Linked DNA regions of Caenorhabditis elegans. The protein of the gene in region 1 purifies or fractionates together with the protein of each later gene. This does not show direct contact. Each region holds a gene or a part of one and is shown on either strand. Other genes may lie near its edges.

The links.
Region 2: the proteins of F49E8.7 (region 1) and sec-24.2 fractionate together in Caenorhabditis elegans (co-fractionation; one large-scale study listed by BioGRID). This does not show direct contact.

Annotation. Positions count from the first base shown.
Region 1 is NC_003282.8:7,551,506-7,562,919, forward strand, and holds F49E8.7 (BACK domain-containing protein), read right to left. Parts: upstream 4,861-11,414; 5' UTR 4,859-4,860; coding exon 4,814-4,858; intron 4,768-4,813; coding exon 4,609-4,767; intron 4,563-4,608; coding exon 4,102-4,562; intron 4,056-4,101; coding exon 3,503-4,055; intron 3,456-3,502; coding exon 3,141-3,455; 3' UTR 2,987-3,140; downstream 1-2,986. Other genes in the region: Protein dif-1, read right to left, coding at 233-382, 497-990, 1,065-1,359; F49E8.6 (Early nodulin-75-like), read right to left, coding at 2,150-2,311, 2,357-2,620, 2,666-2,740; F49E8.8 (Phosphatidylinositol-glycan biosynthesis class F protein), read left to right, coding at 5,144-5,263, 5,313-5,519, 5,581-5,700; nprl-2 (Nitrogen permease regulator 2), read left to right, coding at 5,704-5,920, 5,965-6,276, 6,321-7,023, 7,068-7,191; ima-3 (Importin subunit alpha-3), read right to left, coding at 8,286-8,394, 8,474-8,952, 8,996-9,590, 9,636-9,851, 9,965-10,035, 10,081-10,155; F32E10.9 (TPR_REGION domain-containing protein), read right to left, coding at 11,008-11,205, 11,293-11,414.
Region 2 is NC_003282.8:12,358,786-12,362,385, forward strand, and holds the start of sec-24.2 (uncharacterized protein), read right to left. Parts: upstream 2,008-3,600; 5' UTR 1,985-2,007; coding exon 1,790-1,984; intron 1,726-1,789; coding exon 1,537-1,725; intron 1,490-1,536; coding exon 1,178-1,489; intron 1,134-1,177; coding exon 973-1,133; intron 668-972; coding exon 438-667; intron 380-437; coding exon 270-379; intron 218-269; coding exon 1-217. Other genes in the region: ZC518.8 (Glutathione S-transferase), read right to left, coding at 2,979-3,062, 3,103-3,123.

The DNA.
Region 1 (11,414 bases):
TTTCTCAAAAAAAATTGTATAGCGACAGCTGAACACGGTAAATATAATTCAACATTGAGCACTTCTTGAAGTTCATCAAAAAATTTACGATTTTCATGTAGAAATATACACAACATACAAATGCCCAAAACATGGAAATAGAAGGCAACTCGGGTAAATGTTTTTGAATAATGAAAAAAATATCAAATAAATATGGTATAAACTAATTAGAAAAATGAGAATTTTCAAAAATTTACTCGTCGTGTGGGAGTGGAACAACTTCTGTAGATGGTGTTGGGTGTCCACCAATGCCAAAGTAACGGAAGGCAGCCAACGTGAGTTCAAGTCCGAAGAAACAGGCAGCGTTTGCAGGGAAAGCACGGAGCATTACTGGCCAGAATCCCTGAAATTTATACAAATTGTAGCTAGAAATCAGGTAAAGTATATATGTATGTAAATGTGTCGAGAAATGACGAAAAATTCACTTGCATCGTCCCAATCGTTTAAAAAAAATCACCTTGAACAGAGCTCTAGGACCCTCTTCGCGAAGAACCTCTCTCAAAACTCCACGGATTCCATCTGGATACTTTCCTTCAGGGGCTGTTTGTAATCGAGATTTGAGAACATCAGCTGGAATACACACTCCCCAATTGGCAATACCAGCAAGTCCTCCAGCCATCAATGTTGCTCCTGGTGACAATGTTCTTTGAGCTCCTTCTCCAGAGAATTTCTTTTTTAGATATTCATATACTGAAAGATAAGCGGCTGAAGCTGGGATGTCTCTGAGCAGAGTGGCACCAGTTCCTCTGTAGATTGATGAAATTCCTCCTTGTTTATATAGTTTTTTGACAACATCAAGTGGACCATCGTAATGAACTCCAGAACCAGCAGATCCAGCTTGCTGAACTTGAAGAAGACACTTGATTCGTTCACCAGGAACCATCACAATTGTTGTGAAGACTCCAGCAAGAGCTCCAGCATTAGCGTTTTGGATGAATGTCATCTCCTGGCCTGAAATGCAAAATGGTAAGATTAATTCTCATATTTTCAATTTATTTGTTTGCCCATGATGATTTAGTACTAACTTGGATCAGTTTGCTGCAGCCATTTTCCAACTGCACATCCTCCGAAAAAAACTGCAAAAAGTGGAGAAACACCAACAAGTGGAGCTGCCATTCCTTTGTAGAGGGCAAAAAATCCTTCTTTGGAAACTGTTCGTTTGACACAATCAAGAGCTCCGGTAAATTGTGGCTTCTCCCCTGGTTTTGGCATTGGCATAGTTTGAATTCGGACTTTGACAGTATCGAATGGATGTCCGACGATTACGGTACATGATCCACCGACTCCTCCTGCGATGAAATTCAGAAGAACGTCCGACATTTCAATGCGTCTGAAAAATAAAATGTAAAAACTTCGATCTGATGGCTGAAATTTTCCGATATTAAGTAAGGTTAATGTAGAAATTAAGTGGTTTTTTGATTTAAGAAAAATACCTGAATCCTGTTATTTAAAAAAAGGGTGATAATATTTAGTTTTGTTCAAGTTAATACATTTCTGAATTTAAGAAAACCCTGTCAGGCCTTGTAAGAAATGTTTAACTTATCTTAACTTATCTTATCAAAGAAAATTGCACTTTAAACGCTAAATTTCGAATATAAAATTTAAAATTGGATTTTTAGGAGTTTTTAAAGAACAGTAAAGCTTTTTTATCCTATTTAGATCGATAGTGGGAACGAATGTTTACGAAGATATCAACAACAAAAGGAAGATAAAAAAATAAGTGAAGAAAATGTTTGTGTGTCCGACCACGTCGTTGCTGTGAGGGTTCGCCACAAATAACAGCCAATGAACACAGAGATTGCTGGACTACTCTCCGAGAAAGAGAAGATAACGAAACGTTATTGAGATAGTACAGAAACCGGGGAGACGCAGATAGCATTCGTTTTTTGCACTTTGCCCTTCAGGAAGACTACATCGTGGCTTATTTGTAGTCTTGGGAGAAAATAAATGCATAAATGTGGTTTGATCAAAATATCGTTCAGGTAAAATGACTAAATTAAGAGCACAAAAAATGAAATCGCAGAATAATTATGATTTAGTATGCAAACAGCAATCACAGATGCAAAGGGAATACAGTGTTGAAAATGTTGAAAAATCTTCAGCGAAATTATCATAGTTTTTCTTTCACTTCCTGCGAGAGAACCTGTTCGTAGGTTGGAGGTGGCGGCAGGTTGCCTGAAGACGTCGGGAGTGTTGGTGGAGCAGATGAAGATGGACCTGGTGGTGGAGCACAGTAGGGAGGGGCGAACGACGGGGTTGAGCTGTTGCCATGCTGAAAGTGGGTATGGTAAAGTTGAAATTTAAAAATGTGTGTTACCGAGTAGAAGTAATACGATCCTGGAGCAGGGGGAATGTTCCTGTCTGGGACTCGGTTTGAGAAGTCTGGTCCGTCGAGGAATCCCTCACAGAAGTTGTCGTAAGCCCCAGGCAGATCGGTTCTTGCAAATGCGACTGTAGTAGTTGGAACCGATTGGAGTTGTTGGCCAGCGGAGGTGAAGTAGAACTCGTTTTGTTGAACAAGCGGACCTTGTGGATATGTTGGCATCGGATAGTGGGCAACTTGCGGAGGAGGTGGAACGGCCTAAAAAAATCAAATTATTCATGATTTAAAGTTAAGTAAACTTACACTTTGCTTCGGATAGCTTGGTGCTTCATTCATTCCACTTTTCTTATCGGTTTTCTTGCTTCCAAAAAGTGGCATTTTTCACTTCTCGTCGATCTCAGAGCAAAAAAAAAGAAATGAAAAGAGCAGCAGCGTGAGAAATGAATCAAGATCGATGAAAGCGCGCTCTCTGCTGTCCACAGATGAAAATGCCTAGCAACGACTTACAAACTCGCTCACTGATCAGTTTTCAGTGCACACACTAATCAGAATAGCACTGAAAAACTTATTCGCGTTTAAGTTGAAACAAGTGGAAGAGAAACAAGTGAAGTCTCGTCCTACGGCCGGGATACACATAAATTTATGTTGAAAAAGGAAAAAAGAGCAGAGAAACAAAGAACAGAGAAAACAGCATTGAGAATAAACAGAACAGACAACGAAAGAGTACTCAGAATTGAAAACCAACTGAATCAACAAGGAAATAATAATACTGCACAACTTAATTGGCCAGCACTACTTTTAGATCTACAATAACCTGATTTTCTGAATCGAAAAAACTGGCGAACATATGTCTTCCAGGGCAAGAATTGCCATGATCAGTGAATAAATCTCTTGTTTCTTGCTCAACATTCAAATTGACTCCAATTTGGCGTCCATTGGCGACTTGTGGTATACATCTTTTCACTGCACTCATTTGAACATCTGTAGAGTTGGTAAATGTGAGTTCATAGTTTACAACTCGATCTTGGTGTTCGCTGGCGTTGAAGAAGAATGTGTTCACTATGTAGTCGATTTGTTTTTTCAATTGAACTTTCTGCAATGAGAAAAAAAACCAATTAGAAAGACAAAAGAGGAACTTACCACTGATGAACCAACTTTCAATGGTACAATTCTTTTCAATATGATCGTTTGCATTGGGAATAACACCAAGAAATCTCTGCCAGCAGTATAGACGTTCCCCTCGTTGAACATGGGATCAAAAAGACGACTTCCTGAGCAATCAACGATCAATTTGCAATTCAAAATAATTTCTTCGTCTCCAAGACACACTGGTTCGCATCTATCAAACAAGGGACAGTTGAAAAGAGTGGTAGAAGTGAAAACATCCTCGTCATCCCATTCAATTCTTGCAGCATCTTCAATAGAAGAACATGCTTCTGTTCTTAATCGAAGATTCAATACTTTTGGTTGCCAAGAGAGCAGCATCATACGGAAGAGTTCAAATGGGATGAAATATGACACTGGCATCACTCTTTCCACAAGCTCTTCGCTGTATGCCATCAGAATATCCGGTAAAACCATTGTTAATTTGTCAACTTTTGTTGTTCCAAACTTCATCTTTATCTGATCCAGGAACTTTTTTTCGTCATCAGAACATGAATAGTCAAGTTTATGGGCAGTATTCTCTAGAAAGCTGAAATAATAAGATGTAAATAATATATTTAATAATAATAGCTTACAATGAGGCAATAGCTAATTCCTGAAAATGACCTTCCTTTGGCGCAAGATCTAGCAATGTAATCAGTGGAACAATTGGAGGTTGGTCGCATTGACAATTATTTTGAATCAACTTTTCGATTCCTGCTTTCATCCATAATAATGGATTCAAAATCTTCCTGCAATTGATCGGTGGGAGCCCAAATGAGTCAGAGTCGAATGGAAAAATTTCTGCACTTTTTACATTCAGATGGAACGATTTAATAAGATTTTCGAGATGGAGTATGACAGAGACTGTAGATGTTCGAATATTGTTGATAAAAATCGGTGTTTTGTTGAGATCAGTTTCTGTCAGTGTTTCCAATTCTGCCCATTTCGACTCATCAAACGGTAGAGCAAGCGTGATTCGAATGTGCTCAAAATATGAATTGACTTTCGATAGGAAAACTTCGCTGAGTCTGTCGGAACGAGATTTCAAATATTCCTGAATGATTTGAAAGTTTATCATGTAAAAAAATCTCTAGACTTACTTGCCATTGAATTAAGATCCCGATAGTCTCTTCAAAGGTTCCACTGCTTGTGAAAAGAGGAACAATTATTTTGTCATTTAATTGCTCGTCGCTGACTTCTTCAAAAAATACATCATCCTTGTCTATTTTCCTTTCGACAAAGTCAATCTTGAGTCTTTTCTGAAGTTTTGACGGCCACTCCATTTTAATAGTAGAGATCACTTACCCATTGAGTTTGTGTGGTGACTGAGTTCTTCGATTTTTTGCCCATTGCAAAAATATAAATAATAAAAGGAATAAGTATCCCCGAAAGCTTTTCAAAGTTAAATTAAAGTTAAAAAAAATAGAAAAAAAATAATGTTTAACAATAAGTACGCAAACACCGTGAAGAAACATCGGAACTGACGCGCAATGTTGGTAATGGTGTTTTTTAAAATAACTTTTTTATTTTCTAATTAGTAAATTAATTCTATCGTAAATATTGATCATTCATGATTACAAACATTCTTGAGACCTGTTAACATTGTTATTTCTAAAATTCCAGGATTTTCATCATATGCTTAGTCTACCCGTGGCCGCCAGATTCGTGACTCTTTCTTGGGCGGTGTTTTACATCCTCGCTGTCCTTTTCGGCGCTCCGTTTTTCTCTGATATAATTGCAACCGCTGTACTTGCTGTATGAGAAGATTAAGCACATGAAAATAATTTATTTTTCCTGTTTTCAGACAGCTCTAACGGCCGTCTCTGCTCTGCCTGCCGTCTTCCTATTCGATTCAGAAGAGCGAGCGGTTGAAGTGATCCTACAATTATTTTCGTGTGAAGGCAATCCAACACCAAAAGAATCAGTTTTACTGTTCAACTCCGTATTCGCTTTTTTGGGTGCTTGGGCAGCAGCTGCTGTTCATCCATTGGATTGGGATCGTTGGTGGCAGGTAATCACGCATATATGCGCGCATACACTTCTTGTCAAATGTGTAATAAATTAATTTACAGCGATACCCTCTTCCTTCCCTCGTCGGTTGCTTTATTGGAGCAGTTATTGGTATTTTTATTGCCATTACCCGGATTTTTGTCATCAAGCGGACCGCTTACAATAAGACTAAAAAACGCTAAACAATGGTTCAGCGTCAAAAAACTCTTGCGACATTCGGAGCAGGACCTTTTGCAACAGGTGATTCAAGTGGTGGTCGATTCGGTCATTATACATTTGATGATGCCCCACAACTTCTCGGAATTCTGTTGGCAGAATTTCATAACACTTTAGGTGCAATCATCAAACATTCTGTTCCGAAAGAAAATAATAAAGTTGAGGCAACTTTTCACTTCACAAAAGGTATGTTATATTAATCCAAATAATAAAATGAATTTATGTTTCAGGCTTGATCATTCCAAAACCATCCATGTTCCGTAACTCATTTTCACTGACCATCAAATCTCTTCGCTGCAAAGTTCTCATGTTTCCCGTTGGAATAGATCACAAAAGCTACGAACGTGGTCGTTTCACTTTCGATATGGCTTTCATCGTTGACATGACATCATCTGCAGAAACAATGTATGAGCCAATTGTACAGAAATGCGCGGAATATTTGATTGAATTGGAGATGGAATACAAATTTCTCACAAATCCAAAATACAAGGATCAGGTTCTTGATGTAATGGAGAGAATGTTCAATGATCTGTCGAATAAAGGTAAACTTTGTATTTTTCTATGAATAACAAGATTTTAAATTTAGGCGAAAGTGTGATTGAAGTCAGTCTTGAAGATGAAAAGATTGTGACATTATATTTCAAATTATGCCCATTGTATCGTGGATGTGAACCTCCAGAAATCGATTATCATATGGTTCCAATGTTCATAAGAGAAGTGACGCTTACCGATCATCTCATAGAAAAAATGGATGTTCTGTCACAGAAGATTATTCCTCAAATTGATGGAATCAATACAGTTCGAGAGATTGCTATTATTCTCGAACTTGATCCATCCCTCGTCGCCAGATGTGTTCGTAATTTACACTTCTACGAATGTGTCAGTCTTGTTCCAATGTTTCTCTACTATAATACATATGTGGCAACTGAAAGAGTTCACGACTTTTACAAAAATCAAACGGAAATCAATGACTGCCTTGAGTTTGTGAAAATTCAAACGGAAATCGGTGCAGACGGCTCAGAAATTCCAACGCGAACTCCAGAATTTTCGGATGTGTTCCGACTTTATTTGAGCATGAAAGTGGTGGGACCTAAACTTCCGATCGACGAATCTGATAGCAATCGACTACGTTTTCAGTGCGGCAACAATCTAGCAGAATGGGCCGATCTGGAGAAACCAAGATCGATGGGTATTGATGAACAGCGACTTGTACAATTTGGAATGCATCATCAGTTTCTTCGTAAACTTTCTAAATATCCTATTTGTGTTGCAAACCCAGGCAACAACACGTAAGTTAATCAATTAATACTATCTAATAATATACAATTTTAAGTCTCCTGAAACGGTGTAATGGAAAAACTTCAATTGACGAACTTTCTCTTCAACATAATGTGGACCCCGAACAACTTTGCTCACTGTTGGAAGAAACCGGAAAATTTGAGTTTGTCATGAAATAAATGAAAATCGTGTATTATTGTTTCGTTTTACAACAACTTTTAACAAATAAATTTGATTTATTTATTATGAGAGCACACACCAGGTAAAGGGAATATTGGCCAGTCAGTCGAGACAATCGAGAATAGCAAAACGGGAGAAAGGAAAATGGGATGAGGAAGATGAGAGGGAAAATGAGAAAAGAAGATGGATGATGAGAAGAGGGACGGCTCGATATACCTTTAAAAAGGCCTTACGGGATGGGTGGGGTTTCAAGAAAAAGAATACTGGAGTCCACGAGAACTAAGAGGAGCAGGGTGATTGGAATTTTTGGCCTATCAACGAGATTCTCCGAGAACTAATGAAATCGAGAATGATGATGGATGACTAGGAAATGAGCAAACTAGGGGGATCAGAAGTTCTAAGAAATTGAAATTATGTATATGATAAAGAATTAATAAAAGTAACATGTGAAGAAAATGAAAATACTCGCTTTTAGAGAGAAAATCTGGGGACCGTGGGGATTGGAGGGACTGGGAAAAATGATGAGAGATTTGAAAACGACGCGGTAACAATGATAAAAGGATGAGGGTGGGGGACGCGGGCAATGAACGGGCGCGAATGGGAAACAAAAATGAAAACAAAACTCAACAAAAATGCACAACTCACACACTCACTTTAAAAAGAAATCGAAATATATTATCATAAAACAGTCACTCTCGCACACACGAAGAAGAGGGCGGGGACATTGTAACTAATTAATCACAATGGAAAAAAGATGGTGGATGAAAAAGTGAAATGTTAATCAAATCACTGATGGTACAGAAACAACGAAGAGATAAAGAAAGGATGAGATAATTGACAATCGATTGTAGAAGAACGTGCAAACTCAATTGGTCAAAAAGTGCAAAATCTCACATGAAAGAGAGCTTGCATTTCCGAGAAGCTGGCTTAGGAACTCGCGTGTCAGATGAAAATACACGAGAACCTAACAAAAAGTGAGGTGTGAAAAATAGTAAGACGAAAACTACATGAACATTTGTATGGGAACGGCATGCGAAATTGTTTACGAGAAATAAGACAAAACGTATTTTGTGATTAAAGGAATCATGGAGATCTACTTTCCAAAGTTCCATCCTCCGTTTGGAGCATCAGGAACTGGTGGAACGTCGCCTCCAAAAGCAGAACTTTGAGCTCCTTCCACGTTGCCAGTCTCATCATCGGAACTGAAAATATAAAAACGTATACACCAAACATTCGCACACGGACTCTGAAGATTTTTATCAAATATAATTGGACTCCTACCTGAAGAAGTTATCGATAATTTCGAAAGCCAGTTTGTAAATGTCCTCGTTTTCATGATTTTGAAGATTTTCTATCTTGTCAAGACCTCCGCACTCTTCAATCTCTGATGTCACCTGTTCGGCAGCTTCTCCAGCCATTTTCAGAATGTTGTTAATTCCATCAAGCACTACTTGGATAATCTGCGAATCAGTGCAACTGAGCATCGCACAGAAAGGACGAAGGACACCAAGCTTTACCATTTGCTCAACTTGATTTGGACGGCCAGAGATTGTAACGTTGGAAATAGCCCACGCTGCCTCTTTTTGAGTTGGGAAATCTCCTCGATCAAGAAGATGAATAATCATTGGCATGATTCCGGCGTCGAATACGTCTTGAACTTGTTGTTGGTTTCCAGCAGTTATGTTGGAGACAAACCAAACAGCCTCTTTGTTTATTTTCTCTTTGTAGTGGGCGAGAAGTCCTGGCATAAACCGAAGAACCTGAAATTTAAGATTTGGAAAAGTCATAAATGAAAATTTTTACTCCGCTATCCAACACAAGTTGTGTTTGTTCGTCGGTTCCAGTCACAATATTTCCTACAGCTCGAAGTGCTGCTGTTTGAACTTTAACATCAACGTGTCCAAGGAGTGGAACGAGATGGGTAACAACTTGAGCTTCGATAACCATTTGAATGTGTTCATTTCCACCGTCGGTGAGGTAAGAAAGGGCCCAAACGGTGTCTATGAGGATGTTGGTGTCTTGGTGATGGATCAAAAGTGAGAGGGCGGGAAGAATCGTACGAACCACAGCTGGGCTTGGTGCCGGATCTTTGCACCTGCAGAGATTGACAATAACCCATGTGACATTTCTCAAGAAGCCAATAGGTATCTCCGGGTTAATGAACTGCAATAGTGGCTGGAGAATTCCGAGTTCGAGACAATAATCACGGAAATGTGGTCCATCTCCAATGATGTTACCAAGAGCCCAGACAGATTGCTCGCAAACGTTCAGATTTCCACATGACAGGAGTTGCAGGAAGAGAGGAACGGCTCCGGCATTCACGACGGCTTGTGTTTGCTCTGATGTACCAGATGCTATGTTGGTAAGGGCCCATGCAGCTTCAAATTGCAAGTTTGGACTGAAAATTTACAGTAATTTGATGCGACCTTATGAAAATTCTTACTCCGTGCTGGACAAGCATTGAACGAGGACAGGCAAAATCCCACTGCCAATCAAGTCATCAATTGGTGGATTTCTATCAGTTGATAGCATTTTACGGGCTTGTTGAACAGCAGTCAGCTGCTCAGCGGGATCGCTCGATTGGGCAGCAGCGACTGTCAACCGGAGGAGGTTGGCATCAAATGGACCTGGTGGGGTTGTTGAAGTCTCAGAATCATCTCTGAAAATTAAAACAATTCAAAAACTGGAACAGATAATTTACTGTGATAAGCGTATGAAACACTTTTGTTAGCTCTCATAGCTGAAGCATATAAAATCAGATGAAAAACTCACTCAATTTGGGTATTGATATTACGCCGTTTGGAAATTGCCTCCTCTCGTTTATCCTTTCTGATCGAAACCACCTTAAAATTGAATAATGTATGCGTTAACAAGTTTATCGAACTTACTTCTTCGTTCCTTTTTTCCTTGCCAATTTGCTCTTTGGCATTGTTCTTATAATAAGCCTGTCTGTTTGAACTCATTCTGCTGAAAGAAAAAAACTTGATAAATGAATAGTAGCGCAAGTAAAAAGCAACAAAAAACGTTTAAAAACTGCGGAACTTTCTATCAGAGATTTCGCAACACAAAAAGTATCTAAGATTACAGCTTAATTATTTAAAATAAGAAAAGAGCGATATTGAGAAACTTTAACAGAAATTTTTAAATAAAATCCAATGAATTACATGTAAGATGGAAAGATTTCAGTAGGATTGGGGAAAAATTATAGTCGATAACGAGACAAAATATGTCGCAGAAGCGTCGCGGTTGACACGCAACGCACACAATAGAGCGTATTGGCAGATAAGAGGTCTCACTCGTAGATTTTAAAACTAGGGAAAAGAAGCTCCGGAGTTTTTGGATGGATCTTCTTTAAAAAAAGGAAAACGTGTAAATGTTAAAGATATTAAGAACAAAAAACAATGTCTGATTAAAATGTCAAACTTCGCTTCAAATGGTTTCAAAATATGGCAATTTTAAATACATTTGGGTACCAAGCTCTTTTAACAAAAAATTTTAAATAATAAATTTATTTACTCAACATTCTTTACAATATTAATAACAGCGGATTTTATAAAAATTATAAAGCAATAAATTTTGTGATTGCATCCTACTCGTCGCCGCTCTCATCCTGCACCACCTGAAAAATAATGATATTTATGGTTACATTTGCATTTGCATTTGCATCAAATGCATTTGATATAATACTTTTGAACAAAAAACCAGGAGTATTTTCTAGTCCGAAAAACTTACATTAGCCGTCTTTTCCCGCAATTTCTTGTTGTGTTCCTGGATCCAGGAGAACACCTGATCTGCTTCGGTCAGTGTCGATCCTGTTACAGTTTTCGCAAAGATCTATTGAAAAACTTAAGAAAAGATACACTCCCCAACGCTGCTGGCATGCCGTGTTCACAGAAAAGTTTGGAACTTTTGAAACTTTTCAGACTAATCAGTAGGTTGACCCAGTTGACCCATTGGTCTATGTTCTCTTCGCCGGCCCATGGAAGATTGTCCTTTGCAACTTGAATTGCAGCCTGAAATGGTTCAATTTGAATCACTATTGCGAAGAATATAGTTATAATATAATTCGTTTAACATTTTTCAGTGTTTTACAGGCTTACCTTTAAACCAAACTTGGAATCGTAGGTCTCCATGTAGTTGATAAATTTTATCAACTCATCTCCGCTGACGTCAGTATTTTTGGTGATAAAATCACGGGTAAGCTTTTCAGCCTCAGCACCGC
Region 2 (3,600 bases), 4.8 Mb from region 1:
CAATCATTTCATTCGGATACCGCTTATTACTAGAAAATGAGAAGAAATGCAAGCATTGATCGACAGCAATGAAGCACACTTGAGAACGATCATCTCCTGGCATTTGATCTATATTGATGAGAAGTTGCTCGGCAAATGTGTGTAAATAGCCTGATTGAATTGCTGCAGCACTAATATCAATCACGAATACATAGACAGCAGGTTGAGGTGGACGTAACTGAAATCGCTTGTTTAAATTTAGAAAAACATCGTTTAAAATATGAAAATACCATGTATTCCGATGGAGCAATAAATTCAACCGTCGCATTTTGAATTTCCGGTCTGTTTCGAGGATCTCCGAATGCTTTTGTCACTGGGTCCCAGCAGAAATCATCAGGCACTGAAAACAAAAAATGGTTTTCGCATTTTCTCAATTTCACATTTTTCAGTCAACATACGGTCGTTATTTCTATTACAGAGATTGCATTTCCAGTGTCGATGATCAGGAAGATATACATATGGATTAATATATGTCCGACAATACCGACAACGTACAATATTCGATGTTTGTATAATATTGAGATTCTTAACATCTCGGAACGGATGAAGTGTTATTGCAAATGGTAATCGACTCTTTTTCAGTAGTTCTTCTGTTTGTGGAACTTGGGCGAGTGTTGAGCGGAAAATACTGAAGAGAAAATTATTAATATTTCTAATATCTGCAATAGTAACGATTCTGGATTTTTGCTTGTATAGACTCAAAATTTGGTCAGATGAACCAATTTCTTGATGCGAGATAATCGATCAAAATATGCAATAAAGGATTTAAACTAAATAAAAGTCAAATTCCGACAGCTGCGATTCGAGATTTTAGCTGATATCAGCCAGTAGCGAAGGCATTTTTGAGAAGTCTCACTACGAAATTCGTCCATTCGGCCACATTTTGAGTTTATTTATACAAACAGAATTCCTTCTTCAAGAGAAAATCCTCACTTTGGATCAACATGAGCATTCGGATTCGCGACTTGTTGAGGAATCTGAATCTCGATATCTTCAAAACCAAGTTGTTGAACATTTCTTTCAGCAATCAGATCAATTATATCATTGCGATACCCGCCCATTTGTTGCTGAGGACCAGGAGCTCCGCTCATGTTCTGAAAATCAACTTTATACGGGGAAATAACAAATATGAATAAACCATTTGTCCAAATTGCTGATTCATATTTTGCATTTGAGGTTGTGGGACTTGTGGTTGACCATACTGTGAATTTTGCTGTGGCTGGGGAGGATATCCTTGTTGCTGTGAAGCCGGAGGATAAGCAGCTGGTGCTTGAGGCCGTGGAGCCATTTGTTGCTGATAAGAAGGCGTTGGAGTTGGTGCCGGTGGAGGTTGAGCAGCAGGAAATGGAGCAGGTCGGGCTGAAGCAAGTGCAGATGGGATCGGAGGCTGAATACTTGGAGCTGCTGAACCAACTGATGGTGGTGGAGTTGGAAACGCTGGCGGTCGGGACTGAAATAAAACATTCAATTCTTCTGTATATGCAGTATTAACCATACCACAGCTGGTGGTGGTGGAGCATGATGGCCGTTCATAGAAGGCTGAGTAGCGGGTGAAAAGGACGGTGGTTGATGAGAAAATCCTGCAGAATGAGCTGGAAAAGCTGAAGCTGCAGTTGGATAATTTGGCGCAGCATGGTTATATTGATAACTTGGTGCTCCATTTGGGATTTGAGATACGGGTTTCACCTGAAAATAGAAAATTAAGGAAGGAAATGGAAATATGAAAGTAAAGATGAGAATCAATACATACCGGCTCTTGCGAAGTCGTTGCAGTCGGAAAAGGAAACGGATTGGCTGCATAATTGGGAGGAGCATTATTTAACGGAGCCGCAGATGGTTGAGAAAACTGACTGAATTGTTGGACGTGTTGATATTGTTGATTCTGGTTTTGACCGTACGCCTGCGGAAATCCAACGTTTCCCGGCGCTGTCGGTATATTCGACATCCGTCGATAGCTCGTGTAACCCGCTGAAATTGTATAATGAAATTATATTGCGAGAAAAGAACAAAATAAAACAAGTTCACAACGGTAGATAAATATTTAGCTGACGAGACGAATGAACGTGGCGAAAGAAATTTAATCAATAACTTCAGAGAGTACGGTAGATTTAGATGGGTGCAAACAGAATGACGAACAAATGCACAACTAGAGAAAATCAGTGATCACATTTTTTTCTAATTTTTTTTGCGCGAAAAACCAGCATACTGCTGAACAAATATAATTTATTTTTGGCGCAAATATCGTTTAAATGTTCACTTCAGTTTTTAAAGTCATTATTTTCATTTTCAGCAAAGTTTATAGCGTTTAATAATTAATTGCTCTTGAAATTTGCCTAACTTCGCAACGCTTCGAAATTTCGCGACTCTCTTCTCACCGGCGATCTTTAGAATAGATTTTACAACGTAAACAAAAATATTTATGACAATATTTTCTGATTTTGCTCGAGTATCTCATTGAACACGAAGAATTACGCCATGGAAGGCGACCTCAAGCGCGCGATGCACACAGACACTAGCGTCTCGCGCTCTTTCTCTTTGCCTCGCTGGAAATTCTTTTTCATTTTGCCTTCTTCTCTCGCCACACATTGGCGTCGTCGGTTTCTGCTTCATTGTGAAACGTGGATTTTGCGCTGAAATCAATAAAATCACTGTTTTCTCGCTTTCTCTTTTACTCTTCACTCTCACTCTCAATTTCCACGTAATCCTTGAAATAATTCAGAGGAGCGGAACAAAAAAGAACATTTACTGTACGAAAAATAGGAGAAGAGGTGGAAGAATATCGCCGAGAGGGAGGCCCTCGTATGAACAAAGCGAGAGAAGATCAGCAAGATGTTAAATAATTTTCATAGCGTTCAACACAGGTTTTATTAGTAAGTGAGAAGAAAGTTCCAACTCAGCAATTGGATCAAAAATCGATAATGGAGGGTGTTTTGAGTGTTTTAGTGTAATATAAATGAAAAATTGTCAATTTGATAAAGGTTTCCGAATGTGAAAGCTTCCCCCGAAACTGGTGTTCCTGGATTCTGTAAAAAGTGCGGTTGGCAGAAAACATTGAATGCATACCGTAGTTAGATACGCAGGCATCGCCGCGTTCGCCCGGCCAAGCCTCTATTGGAGCGACCGCCACCACCGCAGAGTGAGAGCGGACACCGTTCTCCAATTGTGTTTCTTAAAATAACAATATTTTGTTACTATTTCAGCCAAACAATCACTTCTGGCGGATGACCGGTATTTTAAATGGTCAGAGTGTTAAAAAGGTACTTTTTGAACCGAAAAAGTGTCATTTAAATGTATCTTGTGTCAATTCTCGAGAGAAATTCCACACAATTTAGTTAGAAAAACTCAAACTTACCTTTTAATAATTTTAAAATCACATTTTGAAAATTTAATTAAATAAAATTACTATTTAGATCAACATAAAAACGGTTTTAATTTTTTAAACTGAAATTCAAAATTTTAAAATTAAAATAAAATAAATTCATAAATTAAAACTATCTGTTGACTTTAATAATTTCAAAAAAAAAAAATTAAAAATGTGGTTATGCCAGTGGCCAGCGTGTA